Arabidopsis thaliana: one gene and its partners. The protein of the gene in region 3 binds, or shares a complex with, the protein of the main gene of each other region. Links are inferred from orthologs where the notes say so. Each region holds a gene or a part of one and is shown on either strand. Other genes may lie near its edges. A codon is read from its position in the direction of its gene.

The links. Proteins that work in one complex are often made in the same cells at the same time.
Region 1: the proteins of CI51 (region 3) and AT4G02580 are in contact, whole or in part, in a cryo-EM structure (PDB 9F5X), measured with the Chlamydomonas reinhardtii proteins. The link is inferred for Arabidopsis thaliana from one-to-one orthologs. Residues at the interface, in XP_001702590.1 of Chlamydomonas reinhardtii: Asp58, Glu59, Arg61, Phe63, Gln64, Asn65, Ile66, Tyr67, Arg69, His70, Met78, Ser79, Arg80, Gly81, Tyr84, Met85, Glu88, Ile89, Lys92, Trp96, Gln100, Tyr133, Glu142, Pro143, Gly144, Thr145, Cys146, Arg149, Glu150, Arg153; in XP_001698508.1 of Chlamydomonas reinhardtii: Thr42, Arg79, Tyr80, Pro81, Tyr84, Gln86, Ser87, Ile89, Ile90, Pro91, Asp94, Val95, Glu125, Val126, Phe129, Tyr130, Thr131, Met132, Phe133, Gly147, Thr148, Thr149, Pro150, Arg152, Leu153, Gln154, Glu184, Met185, Glu186, Cys187.
Region 2: the proteins of CI51 (region 3) and FRO1 are in contact, whole or in part, in a cryo-EM structure (PDB 8BED), measured with the Arabidopsis thaliana proteins. Residues at the interface, in NP_196470.1 of Arabidopsis thaliana: Gly131 (codon at 2,830), Arg132 (codon at 2,833), Pro133 (codon at 2,836), Glu237 (codon at 3,148), Arg247 (codon at 3,178), Leu248 (codon at 3,181), Pro250 (codon at 3,187), Pro251 (codon at 3,190), Tyr259 (codon at 3,214), Gly260 (codon at 3,217), Cys261 (codon at 3,220); in NP_201560.1 of Arabidopsis thaliana: Tyr140 (codon at 3,276), Ser141 (codon at 3,279), Phe144 (codon at 3,288), Trp146 (codon at 3,294).

What each region holds. Positions count from the first base shown.
Region 1 is NC_003075.7:1,132,638-1,137,704, forward strand, and holds AT4G02580 (NADH-ubiquinone oxidoreductase 24 kDa subunit), read left to right. Parts: upstream 1-1,791; 5' UTR 1,792-1,948; coding exon 1,949-2,017; intron 2,018-2,102; coding exon 2,103-2,135; intron 2,136-2,242; coding exon 2,243-2,308; intron 2,309-2,938; coding exon 2,939-3,055; intron 3,056-3,189; coding exon 3,190-3,267; intron 3,268-3,356; coding exon 3,357-3,462; intron 3,463-3,553; coding exon 3,554-3,600; intron 3,601-3,712; coding exon 3,713-3,790; intron 3,791-3,906; coding exon 3,907-3,972; intron 3,973-4,161; coding exon 4,162-4,269; 3' UTR 4,270-4,567; downstream 4,568-5,067. Other genes in the region: CUL1 (cullin 1), read left to right, coding at 1-39, 122-340, 440-607, 697-798. UniProt on the Arabidopsis thaliana protein: Core subunit of the mitochondrial membrane respiratory chain NADH dehydrogenase (Complex I) that is believed to belong to the minimal assembly required for catalysis. Complex I functions in the transfer of electrons from NADH to the respiratory chain.
Region 2 is NC_003076.8:26,956,034-26,960,057, forward strand, and holds FRO1 (NADH-ubiquinone oxidoreductase-like protein), read left to right. Parts: upstream 1-1,881; 5' UTR 1,882-2,039; coding exon 2,040-2,198; intron 2,199-2,345; coding exon 2,346-2,434; intron 2,435-2,618; coding exon 2,619-2,748; intron 2,749-2,929; coding exon 2,930-2,959; intron 2,960-3,266; coding exon 3,267-3,323; 3' UTR 3,324-3,524; downstream 3,525-4,024. Other genes in the region: TRB2 (Homeodomain-like/winged-helix DNA-binding family protein), read right to left, coding at 1-169, 267-350, 424-508, 593-813, 891-1,040; WIH1 (cysteine-rich TM module stress tolerance protein), read right to left, coding at 3,721-3,766, 3,904-4,024.
Region 3 is NC_003076.8:2,758,599-2,763,747, reverse strand, and holds CI51 (51 kDa subunit of complex I), read left to right. Parts: upstream 1-1,728; 5' UTR 1,729-2,021; coding exon 2,022-2,024; intron 2,025-2,442; coding exon 2,443-3,900; 3' UTR 3,901-3,918; intron 3,919-4,136; 3' UTR 4,137-4,431; downstream 4,432-5,149. Other genes in the region: AT5G08535 (D111/G-patch domain-containing protein), read right to left, coding at 428-559, 808-1,038, 1,231-1,293. UniProt on the Arabidopsis thaliana protein: Core subunit of the mitochondrial membrane respiratory chain NADH dehydrogenase (Complex I) that is believed to belong to the minimal assembly required for catalysis. Complex I functions in the transfer of electrons from NADH to the respiratory chain.

The sequences.
Region 1 (5,067 bases), on a different chromosome or scaffold from region 3:
GATCAAAAGGCCATCGAGTTAATAGTGTCTACTTACCAGGTACTGTATGTTTCTCAGAAAATACTGATATATATTTTCTATCTGTAAACGGACTCTGATGCCACGTTCTCTGTCTCTATAGGCTGCTGTGCTTCTACTCTTTAACACAACTGACAAGTTAAGTTACACTGAGATCTTGGCTCAACTGAACCTAAGCCATGAAGATCTAGTTAGGTTGCTTCATTCCTTGTCATGTGCTAAGTACAAGATACTCCTTAAGGAGCCAAACACCAAGACTGTCTCCCAGAATGATGCCTTTGAGTTCAACTCCAAATTCACCGATAGAATGCGCAGAATCAAGGTTTGTGACGTTAATAGTAATACTCAAAAGTCTGCAAGTTTATGTCATGTTTTACATATTGTTAATAACTAACATCAACTTGGGTGATTTGCGTCACAGATCCCTCTTCCCCCAGTTGATGAAAGGAAGAAAGTCGTTGAAGATGTCGATAAAGACAGAAGATATGCAATTGATGCTGCCATTGTCAGGATCATGAAGAGCAGGAAAGTATTGGGACATCAACAACTTGTTTCTGAGTGTGTTGAGCAACTTAGCCGAATGTTCAAGGTAAATTATACATATAATTATATTTATACAGAGACATTTGAAGATGCACGTGGTGATGAAACTCATTGGATTTGTGATGTTTGTTGCAGCCTGATATCAAAGCGATCAAGAAGCGTATGGAGGATTTAATAACCAGAGATTATTTGGAGAGGGACAAGGAGAATCCTAACATGTTTAGGTACTTGGCTTAGGGCAAAAAAACAACAACTATGGAAGTGGTTGGCTCATGAAAGGAATCTGCTTGTATATTTAGAAGTCCATATGGAGACTGTCCTAAAACAAATTTATCGCTTCATTTTCGCTATTTTTCTCTTTTAAAAAATATTCGGTCTGTGCTTTTTTTTTGGGATGCAAATTTGCCTTGTGGATTTTTGTTTCTTAAATATTGAATGGAGATGGAGAAATGGCCTTAATGAATGAATCTCTGCTTTCTAATATATTTATCCTTGATCATATTATTTAAGTTTTATGTATCTCTGTGTTATATTGACGGATGGGAAAGTCGTAACAAATAATATGAGATTTCTTATAATCGAACGCTAATGAGACAAAGATGAACCGACGGAAGGTGCCTTCCTCAATCGCCGAACATTAAAAATCATTGTAATCATCTACGTCATTAGCTATAGTCCACCAGAACCGTAATAGTTTCTGCTTAGGACCAATGTCTTATATTTTAAGCCGTTTTTCTGTTGTATGATGATCTGAAATATTATTGGGATACAAAGACGGGTATGTTAAGGTTAATAACAATTTTGAACGGGTTAATGGTGGAGCTGGTGGATTATATTACTTGATTCCAATGTGCTTTTTTCTTTCTTTTTTGGGTTAATATGAATTATGAACGGATCATCAAAGACGATATTTGGAGCCTACACAGAGAATGATATATACGACATGGAGAAATTCTGTTCATATATGTTTTGAGGTGCGGAGTCATTTTACTCCATCGAGCAAATGTTTCTCACTTTTTATTTGCTTGAGATTCTGTTAAACAAACAAAGAATCATGCCATTGCACTATGATGAAAAAGCTGCGAGGAGATGTGCAAATTATAAGAATCAGCAAATTCCAACGGGCTTCAAGTATTACATGTATGGGCCTTTAATTAATAAAATGGGCCTTTAAAGCTACTCGTATGTATCAGTCCTAAACCAAAAGTAATAGACCAATAATGAATTAAAGTCAGGCTTATTTTAGCAGGCCCATAGAGGCTATAGTCAATCCTGCGCCAGGTGATAGTGAGATACCGAGTCTAGCTCCTTGGTTTCTCTGCTTCTCCTTCTCTCTCAGATCAAAAAAAACCTTCGTGTGCGTCTCTCGTCCTCTAAATTGTCGAAAATGCTGGCTAGGCTCGCTGCGAAGCGTCTTCTCGAGATCCGTCAAGTTTTCCGTCAACCAACCTCTCAGGTATTCTCTAATTCCTTGCTTCCTCTCAGCTTCTCTCCGGTCGTTTCCCGATCTCATTCTCCGTTTTGGTCATTTCTATCTACAGGTGACTCGTAGCTTATCGACGGCCTTAAACTACGTGAGTGTTGGATATTCTATCTGATCTATGCTTCAATTTTGTCTAATTTTATCCGAAATTAATTGTAATTTGATTTTTGTTGTTGTTGTTGTTTTGATTACTTATAGCATCTGGATTCTCCTGATAACAAACCCGATCTTCCATGGGAGTTTTCAGAGGCTAACCAATCTAAGGTCAGTGAATAAAATCGCTTCTTAATGTGATAATGACGAAAATTTACAGTTTTAGTGAACGCATTGGGGATTTTTATCCAGTACGGATTCGAATTCGTTTTTGTGATGTTTACAGAATATCTAGGGAATTGTGTGACATGTTCGTAATGGTGGAATTAATTTATACTCTTTCGTGAAAATGTTGGAATCTTTAGCCCTCGTTCCCTAATCTTTAGCCCTTTGTTTGACCCTAGTTATAACTAGTCCCTGTCTCCTGATTATGAATTATGGTTCTCTTAGTTAGCATTCTACCAAAGGATATTAAAAGACAAAGACTGGGATTTTCTGATATTTTTGATTGCTTATTTGTTGTTACATATTTAGAATCGGCTATTCTGGAACTGATTTAAGGGAGAGACTTAGAGTGAACGACCCAAATGGCCAACAGATTTGAATCTGCTAGTGTGGCAGAAAGACTGTCCAGAAATTAGTAAACCGGTTTCATTGTAGTTTAAATCCTAATACTTTCTTGTGCATTTAGTTCCAGTTTACTGTATCTTTCATTTCTGGCTACAGTAATCTTGCATTAACGGTGAAATCGATTTCCGCATGCATCCAGACTTACTGAATTGTTATGTCCAAAATGTGTAGGTTAAGGAGATTCTCTCTTACTATCCATCCAATTACAAGCAGTCCGCAGTTATTCCTCTCCTAGATCTTGCACAACAGCAGAATGGAGGCTGGCTCCCTGTTTCAGCAATGAATGCGGTATGTCTTCTAAGATTTTTTTGTTCGATTTTCTCTGTTAAGACTTAATTTTATGTACTTCTTAAGTTCTTTTTTGGAATACAACATTCATTGATATGATTTTACCGTCATAACAATGCAACAAACTTTTGCAGGTTGCTAAAGTTATAGAAGTTGCCCCTATCCGTGTTTATGAGGTTGCAACATTTTACTCAATGTTCAACAGAGCAAAGGTAAGAAGTACTTTCTACCCCTAAACTCAAGTCTCTACTGTACTCAATGAAAGACGCATTGCAGGCTCATTTTTCTTTTGCTCTTACAGGTTGGAAAGTATCACCTTCTAGTTTGTGGCACAACACCTTGCATGATCCGTGGTTCACGAGACATCGAATCAGCTTTGCTAGACCATTTGGGAGTGAAACGCGGTGGTAAAGCTCTATGTGCTTCCTTTCATAACCAAAATCATATGGAGGTGATGATCAGTCATAACGATCTTTGGTCTTAATGTTTTTTGTGCAGAGGTCACAAAGGATGGTTTGTTCTCTGTTGGAGAGATGGAGTGCATGGTATGGATTTTGCGTCACCTCAATTCATTAATCCATGCAGAACAATAACCAAGATTAGTACTTTCACATGAAAAGATTCAATGCAGATCTAATGTGTTTGGTTTTGTTACAGGGATGTTGTGTTAATGCACCCATGATCACTGTGGCTGACTATTCCAATGGATCAGAAGGATATACATATAACTATTTCGTATGTCAAATCTCGTTGAACAATTTTTCTTTTTCTCCTGCATTATCCTATTGTTTATGTGGGTTACGTCGGAAGAGTGAAATCATACTTACACTGTCTTATGCTACAATACACAGGAAGATGTTACACCTGAGAAAGTCGTAGAAATTGTTGAAAAGCTGAGAAAAGGAGAAAAGCCACCGGTAAGACATTAACAACCCATTGCATTTGGATACTTTCCTGATGTTCTTCTCTTACTATTGCATTACATCGGTGGGGGAAAACAATCTGGTTTCGGTTAACTTTCCAAATTGGAGAACGTAGCCTCTAAGCCAAAATCCAAATCCAAAATCCAAATCCAACTTCTTATAATGTTAATCTTTGTTTTTCAGCATGGAACTCAGAACCCGAAGAGGATCAAGTGTGGACCAGAAGGAGGGAATAAGACACTGCTTGGTGAGCCTAAGCCACCACAATTCCGTGATCTTGATGCATGCTAAAGCTAAGTTCTGTTTGCCGCAGTTTTATGTGGTTCAATAACGCAAAGGCTATAGCGATGTATGTTTGACGCCTGTACCGCATCAAATTGAGTTTGCATACTCTTTGTAGTCTTCTTGGTTTTGGAATTTAGACCCATTTTAAACAAATTGCCAAATCATCTTCGTTTATTATTATCTCACTCTAAGATTCATGTGAAATTGTAATAAAAACAAAACTTTTATCTGTTACTTCAAAAGACACAAGATTTTCCAAACTTTACTCAAAAAATAAATTTGGCAGAATGATTTAATGAATCACATGAAATAATCATATCAATAACTTTAATTCTTCGATGAGTTTTTTTTTTGGCTATATTTTTCCAAAACTAACAATATTAATAAAAGTTGTATTTTGTCTTCACTAATCAATGCAAAATGTAAACATGCAAGTTTAAATTGATACATGTTCTGTCCAAAGTGTATATATCTTAGCATTTGAGATTTGGAAGTTAAAATTGTACACGTACCACTAAAAAAAAGAAGCACAATTCATGGTACTTTCTCCTAAAATATTTGCTTTATGTTTCTAGTGTTATCAAACAAAGGATGGTTACTAGATCAAACTAATAATATTATTTGATAATTAATTATACTACTCCAAAGTCATACAAAATAAATAATAATACAAGGGGTGACAAATTACAAATACTTGTTTTTTCTTCAATTTGAACACAACTCAACAAGGTCCCACAACTTCCCACTACTACTACTACTAATAAATAACACCCTTCAAGCTCCTTCCTCAACCTCCCACTAAAG
Region 2 (4,024 bases), about 24 Mb from region 3:
TTATCATATATAATTCACCGTCTACTCGGAATTTAGTGAGACTGTTGGCACCGTTCTCCTCGGGTTTTGTTGGGTCTTTCTTGTTGTTTCCTTCCAGAAAGAGTTGAGGAGCCTTCTGTCTTGCACCTGCGGGAATAAAATTAGAAGAAAACCTGTACTTGTGCTTTATCTGAAAGTGAGAAATCACCAAGTAAGTATTTTTGAAAATTCTGAGAGTAATGAAGTGTTAGTGATCATGAATCTTGAATCAAAAGTTGTGTGTTTACCTTAACTAATGTTCCATTCGATGATAAATGCTTTAATCGTACTGCGACATGCCTTTTCATATTCGGTGGAGTCTTGAAATTCTCCTGAAATTTAACAGCTACTAAGTAAGTATGCAACAAACCCCAACCAAACATGTAATCCCAATGGTAGAAATACCTCTATATACAGAAAGATTGATGTTCTGTCAGAACCGCGTAGTTCCCTCAAGTTGGTAATTGCCTCAAAGATGATCTTATCCAAACTACAAAAACAGACAATAGCGCAAGATCAAATCTTTATGAACTCAAGAAAATCGTTATGTGGTGCATAAGTCAGGGAACCAAACCTTGTAATTGATCTCTTAGAAGCACAAGTGCGTGGTGATCCACCACCAGAACCTCCGGGGGAAGTTGGTTTTGCACGTTCATCATCATTAGTCAAAGCCACAATGGTAAGAGCTGTGTTGTTATCATCCTGTTTAGTACCTGGTGGAGTCCTCTTAAGCGCAAGTTTAGCCTTCTTCCTTGAACCCCATAAAGCTGTCACGCTTATATTTCTCCATTTGTCCTGTTATGCCTTGAACTATCAAGATTAGTCCGAAACACGCGATCACAACCTCCAAAAAGCATATTATATTGTATTACCTTAAGATCAACATTAGAGCGAGACTTAAGGATTAAACTAAACTCAGTATCCGAGAGTATGGTACGCCACTTCCCAGTCCCATGCTTAAGAACTCCAGCTTTAAGAGCTGCTTCTTCTTCCGGTGTCCACTTCTGCTTTGGTGCACCCATCCACAGTTATCAATATTTGAATTTCTTCTTTTCTCTGCCAATAGATGTGAACGCTAACATTAGAATCTGTTAAATCGTACGAAACTTAACCACATCAAAGCCATTGTTGAACATTTCTTATCCAATACAAAATTTTGGTCATCTAAATCCAGCAGATACACAAAGCCACAACATAAAAATGTAACTACACAAATCCAAAGAAATTAGATACGCCCCAAAGCTCAATTCAACAAAAAAATGAGTGATTCGAGCAATCTCGAACCAAAAAAAGAGGATCAAAGCCCATTAACAACGTCGCAAATCAACAGGAATTTGGAAATACAGCCATCAATCTAAAGCGATAGCTAAATTATCAACCAAATTCAAATGGGGCGATCGTAGAAAATTAAAAACAAAAATGGAAAATTCAGAGAAGGAAGCAGAAAGGAGGAAGGAGGAGAAGAAGCATGCCAGATCAAACGAAACCAAAGGAGAGTTTTCGAGAGAGAGACTTGATGATGAAAGCTAATTCCTTGTATAGATGTGTCATAGATCAAATGTGATTCGCTGAAACGAACGAAGAAGAAGAAGACCAGAGAGGCTAGCATAAGGAAGAAGAATATCCATAGAAACGAGAAACAAACTTGAGCTTTTCTTTTGTATTCAAGCTAAGGAAGATGTAACCCTATATTTCTCCACATTCACAAATTTGCCTCAAGTTTATCAAATTACACAATAAAACCTACCAACTAAATGAATAGGATCAAGCTGAATAAAATATACTAGTACTATTTTTTAAAAATAATGTATCTATAAAATTTATCGTTGTTAAATCTCACAGATAGTTTAGGGGCTATTAAAGATTTTTCATATAATAGTAAGACCGAAAGCGTAATTTATAAAATTTTGATGGCTAGATTGAAATATGTGTTTTTTTTTTCTTTCTAAAATCTACAGAAGTAGAAGAAACCAAAGCGAAATCAAAAAGCTCAGCAATTTTCCAGATTTCTCTAATTGACGATGGCGCTTTGTGCTACTACTCAAAGGACTATCCGTATAGCGGCGACGCTCCGGCGTGTTGCTCGACCTTTCGCTACTGACGCGGTGGTTGAGTCGGATTACAAGCGTGGTGAGATCGGTAAGGTCTCCGGAATCCCAGAGGAGCATCTTTCTCGCAAGGTAAATAAGCATTCGATTTCTTACGAATTCAGTTTAGAAAATTAGGGTTCGTGATCAGAGAATCGTCTTAATTGAGCTACATCGTGTTCTTGATTTGATTTTGGTCAATCGAATAGTGCTAAGAGTATTGAATTTGGAAATTAACAGGTGATAATATACTCACCTGCTAGAACAGCTACCCAGTCAGGATCTGGAAAACTCGGAAAATGGAAGATTAACTTCGTCTCCACCTTAAAGTATGCTACTTTTTGATTAAGATAATCCTCTTTTCCTCACATTTTATGTCCTAATATGATTCTTATCCTTAAAATTCCTATCTTTTCAAAACTTAAGTCTTCTGCTTGTGACTAGTACTAGTCCATCACTTGTTGATTAGATTTCGATTGACATCACTTATCTATGGCATTCATATGTTTCTAGGTGGGAGAATCCGTTGATGGGATGGACTTCTACAGGTGACCCCTATGCTAATGTTGGTGACTCTGCTCTTGCTTTTGATTCTGAAGAAGCTGCTAAGTCTTTTGCTGAGCGTCATGGTTGGGATTATAAGGTACGTTGTTTCCTTCTTCGTTTTTAGCTCATTTTTTTTTCTGGTCGCATTCACTCACATTTTATGAGAATGTGATGGTTCTGTTTTTTTTTTTTTTCGATCACCATTGTGATGGTTCTGTTTTAAGATCCCTTAATATAGAATTCAGAGTACTGAAAAACTTACATCTAAATCATTGCAGGTCAAGAAGCCCAACACACCATTATTGAAGGTTAGTAACTATCTTTTTGCTAATGCCGCATTATGACTTACGAGCTCTACTCATATGAGGTGTTTAACCCTAAAGCTGGAGATTCACTGGAACGACCCTTGAATGTTGTGTTAAATAGATAGGATATTCTTTAACTTAACTCATATTGCTTCATCAGAAATGGTTTGGTGCCTCTAGTTTAAGATTTAGCTACTAGTTTGACGAGCGATAGTCTCTTTCATTCCTTTGATTTATTTGGTAGAACATTCTTTAGATTGAAGTTTTAACCTAACCCCATGATTGTTCATCATCTAACATCTAACTGCAGGTCAAGTCTTACTCGGACAACTTCAAGTGGAAAGGCAATCCTCAACCAGAAAACTGATGTTACACCTTCTTCCAATTCTTCTCGAGCAAAAGAAGAAACCTCATTTGATATTAATTCTCATGTTTCTTTGTTATTTTAGCATCTGTGAGCTTTTTGGTTGAAAAGAACCATTATCCATGGCTATGTTTACTTATTACAATAATATGATGATGATGATGAAACACACTCCTTTGATATTTCATCAAGATTTCTGATCACTTCTTTACTGGTTTATTTCGAATTCGTGTGATTGGATTATGAAAGAGAGAGATAATTATGGTCGGAGTCAATAAAACATAAGATACCAAAATTCGAATTGAAAGAAGATAACAACAGAAGAAAGATTGTTGAACATTACATAACATATATGAGGAAATAAAAGTTGACTGAGGCAACGTATATAATTATCCTCCGATCAGAAACATGCATCCAAGAGACAGCAACAACAGAGCGCAGCCAAACTGTGACGTATTTATGAACAGAGCAAAGACATATATTAACTAATACAGTATTATTCCACTAAAACCTAAATACAAAGCAAAACAAGAAACCAAAATAAAGTTAATATAAAGTAGAAAAGATGGGATCAAGAACGTACCATCCTTCAAGCATACCGGCGTTTTGCTTCTGCTGCGGAGCTTGAGAGTACTGCGGCGGAGGATAACCTTGTGCAGGGTATCCCTGAGCATATCCTGGCGGTGGATAACCGGCTGGAGGAT
Region 3 (5,149 bases):
CTATAAACGATCATCAAATGGTTTTTAACAAGAAGAAAAAGTGAATTCAGCAGACAGCAGACATAATAACAAATGGATTAATTACCCACACAAGCTAGAATTTTTTGTTACTCCCATGTTAAATCGGATTATTATCCCAAATTTAGTTCACAATATAAAGTGATTTGGTCATGCTAAATGCATGGGTACCAATGCAAGGCACATGAACATACACTTTAGAAACTTGCTAACAAAAACCTTTACTTGAAGTGTCTGCATTAACTTCATTTTCTTTTCCCATTTTCTAAAGGTATAAGGTTGAGCGCATGATTCTATAACTATTTTTCTTCATTGATAAGGCAATAGAACAGAGTTATTCTAAATTTGCAGTAAATACAGAAGCTTTTGGAACATTCAGGTCAATAAGAAGTAAAAGAATAAAACCTAGTTATACATTATCGGGCCAGAACTCCCTAAAGAAGGCTCGTTCAAATTCTTTTTCCTGTAAATGTTTTTCGTGCTCCATCATCTTCCGCATTTTCTTCGAAAGTTTCTTACTCTGCTTTGAGACTTCTTCATCCTGAAAATTTTAGTAAAGAAAAGATAAGTTTCGATGCCTAACTTGAAAACAAATGAAACATAAAAGCTAATGGCAACGTGATAAGCCAAAAATCAAGTCCAGCACTATTGAGATATGAAGTGTCGCTGATGCAGACTTTCAAAAAATAAAATCAGATGAGACTCTTTATCAATGCCTGAACACTTCTTCATCATTAGCTATTTTCAGATTTAAAGGCTATCGCATGTAAGGGTTTTAAGAAACAAGACCTTAGCCTGAGGCTGAGCCACTTTTCTCTTAGCTGGTTGTTTAGCTCCCACTCCTCGTTTGTTATGTTTTGGCTCTGCTTGTAGAGGCACCAATATACCCTGTTCAGCGATTCCAAGACCAGTGCCTTCCTTCCAGCCATGCTTCTTTAGGAGCTGAAACCCAATGTTGGACGAATTTATAGCAGCCAATGAACTGCTTGATCCAGAGGACTCACCCATAACGCTCGACACCTGAACATGTTAACTCACAATTGTCAATAAAAACAAAAGGAATGCACATTCAGTTCTGCTTACTTCTTGTAGTCTATTCAATTCACAACTAGAAACAGACCCAAAAGTTTCCTACCACTGAACAGTAAACAAAATGTTAATAGGTTAAATGCAGCACAAAATAGAAGAGATGCATCCAGAAATGAGTTATACCTGAAACCTATTAGCAGATTCAATGACAGCCCATGAACTTGTCGAAACCGAGGAATCTCCCATAAGAAATCGAAACCTAAATACAATGAACCAACCATCAGAAATATTGTTATCATCTAAATTCAGGGTTCAATTAAAGCCAAACACAAGAATTCGCTTATGTTGATTATTTCCTGGAATAAATTAGAGCAAATTTCACAAACCATGAGCCTGAATCATCAAAATATTAAGATAATAATAGATAGACGGAACTCACCAAAAACGTGAAACTCAAGCAGTCACCGAACAAAACGAGACCAATGAACCCTAGAATCACCGAGACGATCTGATGAAAACTGAGTGAAAATCGCTTCAATCTCTTCCTCTCTCTATCGAACCACCGCCTTTGCTAATCGCCGGCCTGTAGCAGTTGGATCGTCTTACGGGAACTGAGAAAATTATAAAAAGACGCCTCTTATGTTTCTAAATGCTAATTGTTCCCAATACTTTATAATTATTTCATATTCGACCCACATATTTTACGTTTATCGAAGTTTAGGATAGTTTCATACCGGACCAGAATATTTGGGCCTGGACCAAGAGAGGCCCATAAAATAGAGAGAAGCTTAACGTCAAGAAGACGCGGAGTAATCTAAACCAAACAGCTTATCTCGAGTTCGTCGGTCTCAGGTGGGCAGTGATTATAACTTCGTCTCCGTGTCTGTTCAAGCTCCCATTCTTGTGGCCTTCACGCTTCAGGAACAAAGACCAGTATCTCTCTGAAAGACTACTTCTCGGAAATTTTCGTCTCCATGGTAAGCAATCTCTTTTCGCGCACTCACTTTGATGATCTCCGTTTTCATTTCTAGGTTATACGATTTTCTTCTCGATCGCATTTGTTAGGGTTTTCAAAATTAAGACTTTGAGTGTATTTATCTTGAATTCAGCTGAACAATTTCAAAATGCGGCATCTTCTTATACATAGATCTAGCGGGTTATGATTGATCTGGTCGAGCTTATCGATTTAGAGCGATTGGGTTTATTCACCTGCTTTTGTTGGTTTTGTTTGGTTTCCTAATGTTGAAACAGCGATTTTATACGCGACACTTAACTCCTGTATCATCAATTTTACTGATTTCGTGCTTCAATTTTTTGTATGCTTTTAAAGTAGATCATGTGTTACTTTGAGTTAATTTGCCATTTACCGTCTTTGTTATATGGATTTGATGATAGGCACCCGTGAGGGGGATTCTTGGCTTGCAAAGGGCAGTGTCCATTTGGAAGGAAAGTAACAGACTGACTCCAGCTTTGAGATCATTCAGCACTCAAGCTGCATCCACTTCCACCACTCCACAGCCTCCTCCACCTCCTCCGCCTCCGGAAAAGACTCATTTCGGTGGTCTCAAGGATGAAGATCGGATTTTTACTAATCTCTATGGTCTGCATGACCCATTTCTCAAAGGCGCGATGAAGAGAGGTGATTGGCATAGGACCAAAGATTTGGTGCTCAAGGGTACTGATTGGATTGTCAATGAAATGAAGAAATCTGGACTTCGTGGACGTGGTGGTGCTGGTTTCCCTTCTGGTCTTAAGTGGTCCTTTATGCCTAAAGTTTCTGATGGCCGTCCCTCCTATTTGGTTGTCAATGCTGATGAGAGTGAGCCTGGAACTTGTAAAGATAGGGAGATCATGCGTCATGACCCTCACAAATTGTTGGAAGGGTGTTTGATTGCTGGTGTTGGAATGAGAGCTAGTGCTGCGTATATTTACATCAGGGGTGAATATGTGAATGAGCGTTTGAATCTAGAGAAGGCTAGAAGAGAAGCGTATGCAGCTGGTCTCTTGGGGAAGAATGCATGTGGTTCTGGTTATGATTTTGAAGTTTATATCCACTTTGGTGCTGGTGCGTACATTTGTGGTGAAGAGACTGCGCTTCTTGAAAGCCTTGAAGGGAAGCAAGGAAAACCTAGGTTGAAGCCTCCGTTCCCTGCTAATGCTGGTTTATATGGTTGTCCCACAACTGTTACCAATGTGGAAACAGTGGCTGTTTCGCCTACCATTTTAAGGCGTGGACCTGAGTGGTTTTCTAGTTTCGGTAGGAAGAATAACGCTGGGACAAAGCTCTTTTGTATATCAGGCCATGTAAACAAGCCATGCACGGTGGAAGAGGAGATGAGTATACCTCTCAAGGAACTGATTGAGAGGCATTGTGGAGGTGTTAGGGGTGGATGGGACAATCTACTTGCTATCATCCCTGGTGGTTCATCTGTTCCTCTGATCCCTAAGAACATTTGCGAGGATGTGCTGATGGATTTCGATGCGCTCAAGGCTGTCCAATCAGGGTTAGGAACTGCAGCAGTCATTGTGATGGATAAATCAACCGATGTTGTGGATGCAATTGCAAGGCTCTCTTACTTCTACAAGCATGAAAGCTGTGGGCAGTGCACTCCTTGCAGAGAGGGAACAGGTTGGCTTTGGATGATCATGGAGAGAATGAAAGTTGGCAATGCAAAGCTGGAAGAGATTGATATGCTGCAGGAGGTAACCAAACAGATCGAAGGACACACAATCTGTGCATTGGGTGATGCAGCTGCATGGCCTGTGCAAGGTCTGATAAGACACTTTAGGCCAGAGCTCGAGAGAAGGATCAGGGAACGCGCTGAAAGGGAGTTGCTACAGGCTGCTGCTTAAGTACCTTGTTAACCAGAGGTTTGCATCTCCAGTCCTTGCTCTTTTAATCTTCTGTTGCAAACTTAAAAGCTGAGGTCTAGAGTTTACGCAGCCTTTTAGAATGTATTTGTGACAAGGTAGACTGCTCTGTATCTAATTTCTTTGGGCATTTCAAGAACTTGAGCCGTAATGAACAGTTAGTTTCCGTAACTATCTTTCTGCTCTATCCCTGTCTTACAAAATTGATGTTTTTGCAGGGAGTTTGCTATTATTCTCCATGGAAATAAAATCTGAATGAACAACTAGTAACGGTTTTGGGATGCAAAGCTACTTCAGAAGGAGAAGAAGGTAATGTAATTTGTTTGAATGGTTAATGTTAAAACTCTCTTAAAGTTGTATCAGAAAGAGCGCGATTTGCTCTTTTGCATTACTCTACTTTCTTTATTGTTTGCTTGTTATGTTTATTCGAGTATGAAAGCACATTTTGGGAACAACCAAAGAAACCCTTTTCATGTTTGAAATAAAGAATGCTCCTTTTTGGGTTTATAAGTAGTTCACATAGCAAATAAATTATAAATCAATGTTTCTTTTTGGCATTTTCTGAAAAATATCTCTAGGATATAAATTGGTATATCATTGTTCTGTATACAACTTGATATGATAGTCCAAAATTAGTTTTTTTGGATAATGTATAACCAAAATGTGATTAGTCCCAACTTGATTTCGTAAAATCAAACAAAGTAGAAATCATCTTAAAACTATAAACTAGAAATTTCTAAATGGAATAACTTAAAGAATAAAATGAAATGGAAGTGATATATATATTCGCATTGAAATGGAGAAAGAGAGAAAAAGGAAAAGAGATAAATGAAGGCAAGGAAGACCTGTGAGGGTGATGGGGACCGGTCTGATTGGATATTATTTTTGGAGGATATTTATGGATAAGACGTCAACATCTTCCCTAACTTCTTTGTCCACCTCTCCCACCTTTTTCCCCCCTTTTCCAATTTCTTTACTTAATCGATAGAACTACTGAATCAACAAGTTGTTGTATGATGAAATTACATAATCACATATTTGCATAACTCGGAAAGTCGTCATATAGGCAATTAGCATCTTTGTTGTTTTCGATTTTCGATATGAGCTTAAGTTTGAACAATGTTTACAAATAGTTTGATATAGTATTTCATTGCCTTTTATAATCACCGTACAAATAATTATTATTCATCAATGATTGCCTCCCCAAATGTCACCAAAAGAAAAATCTAGT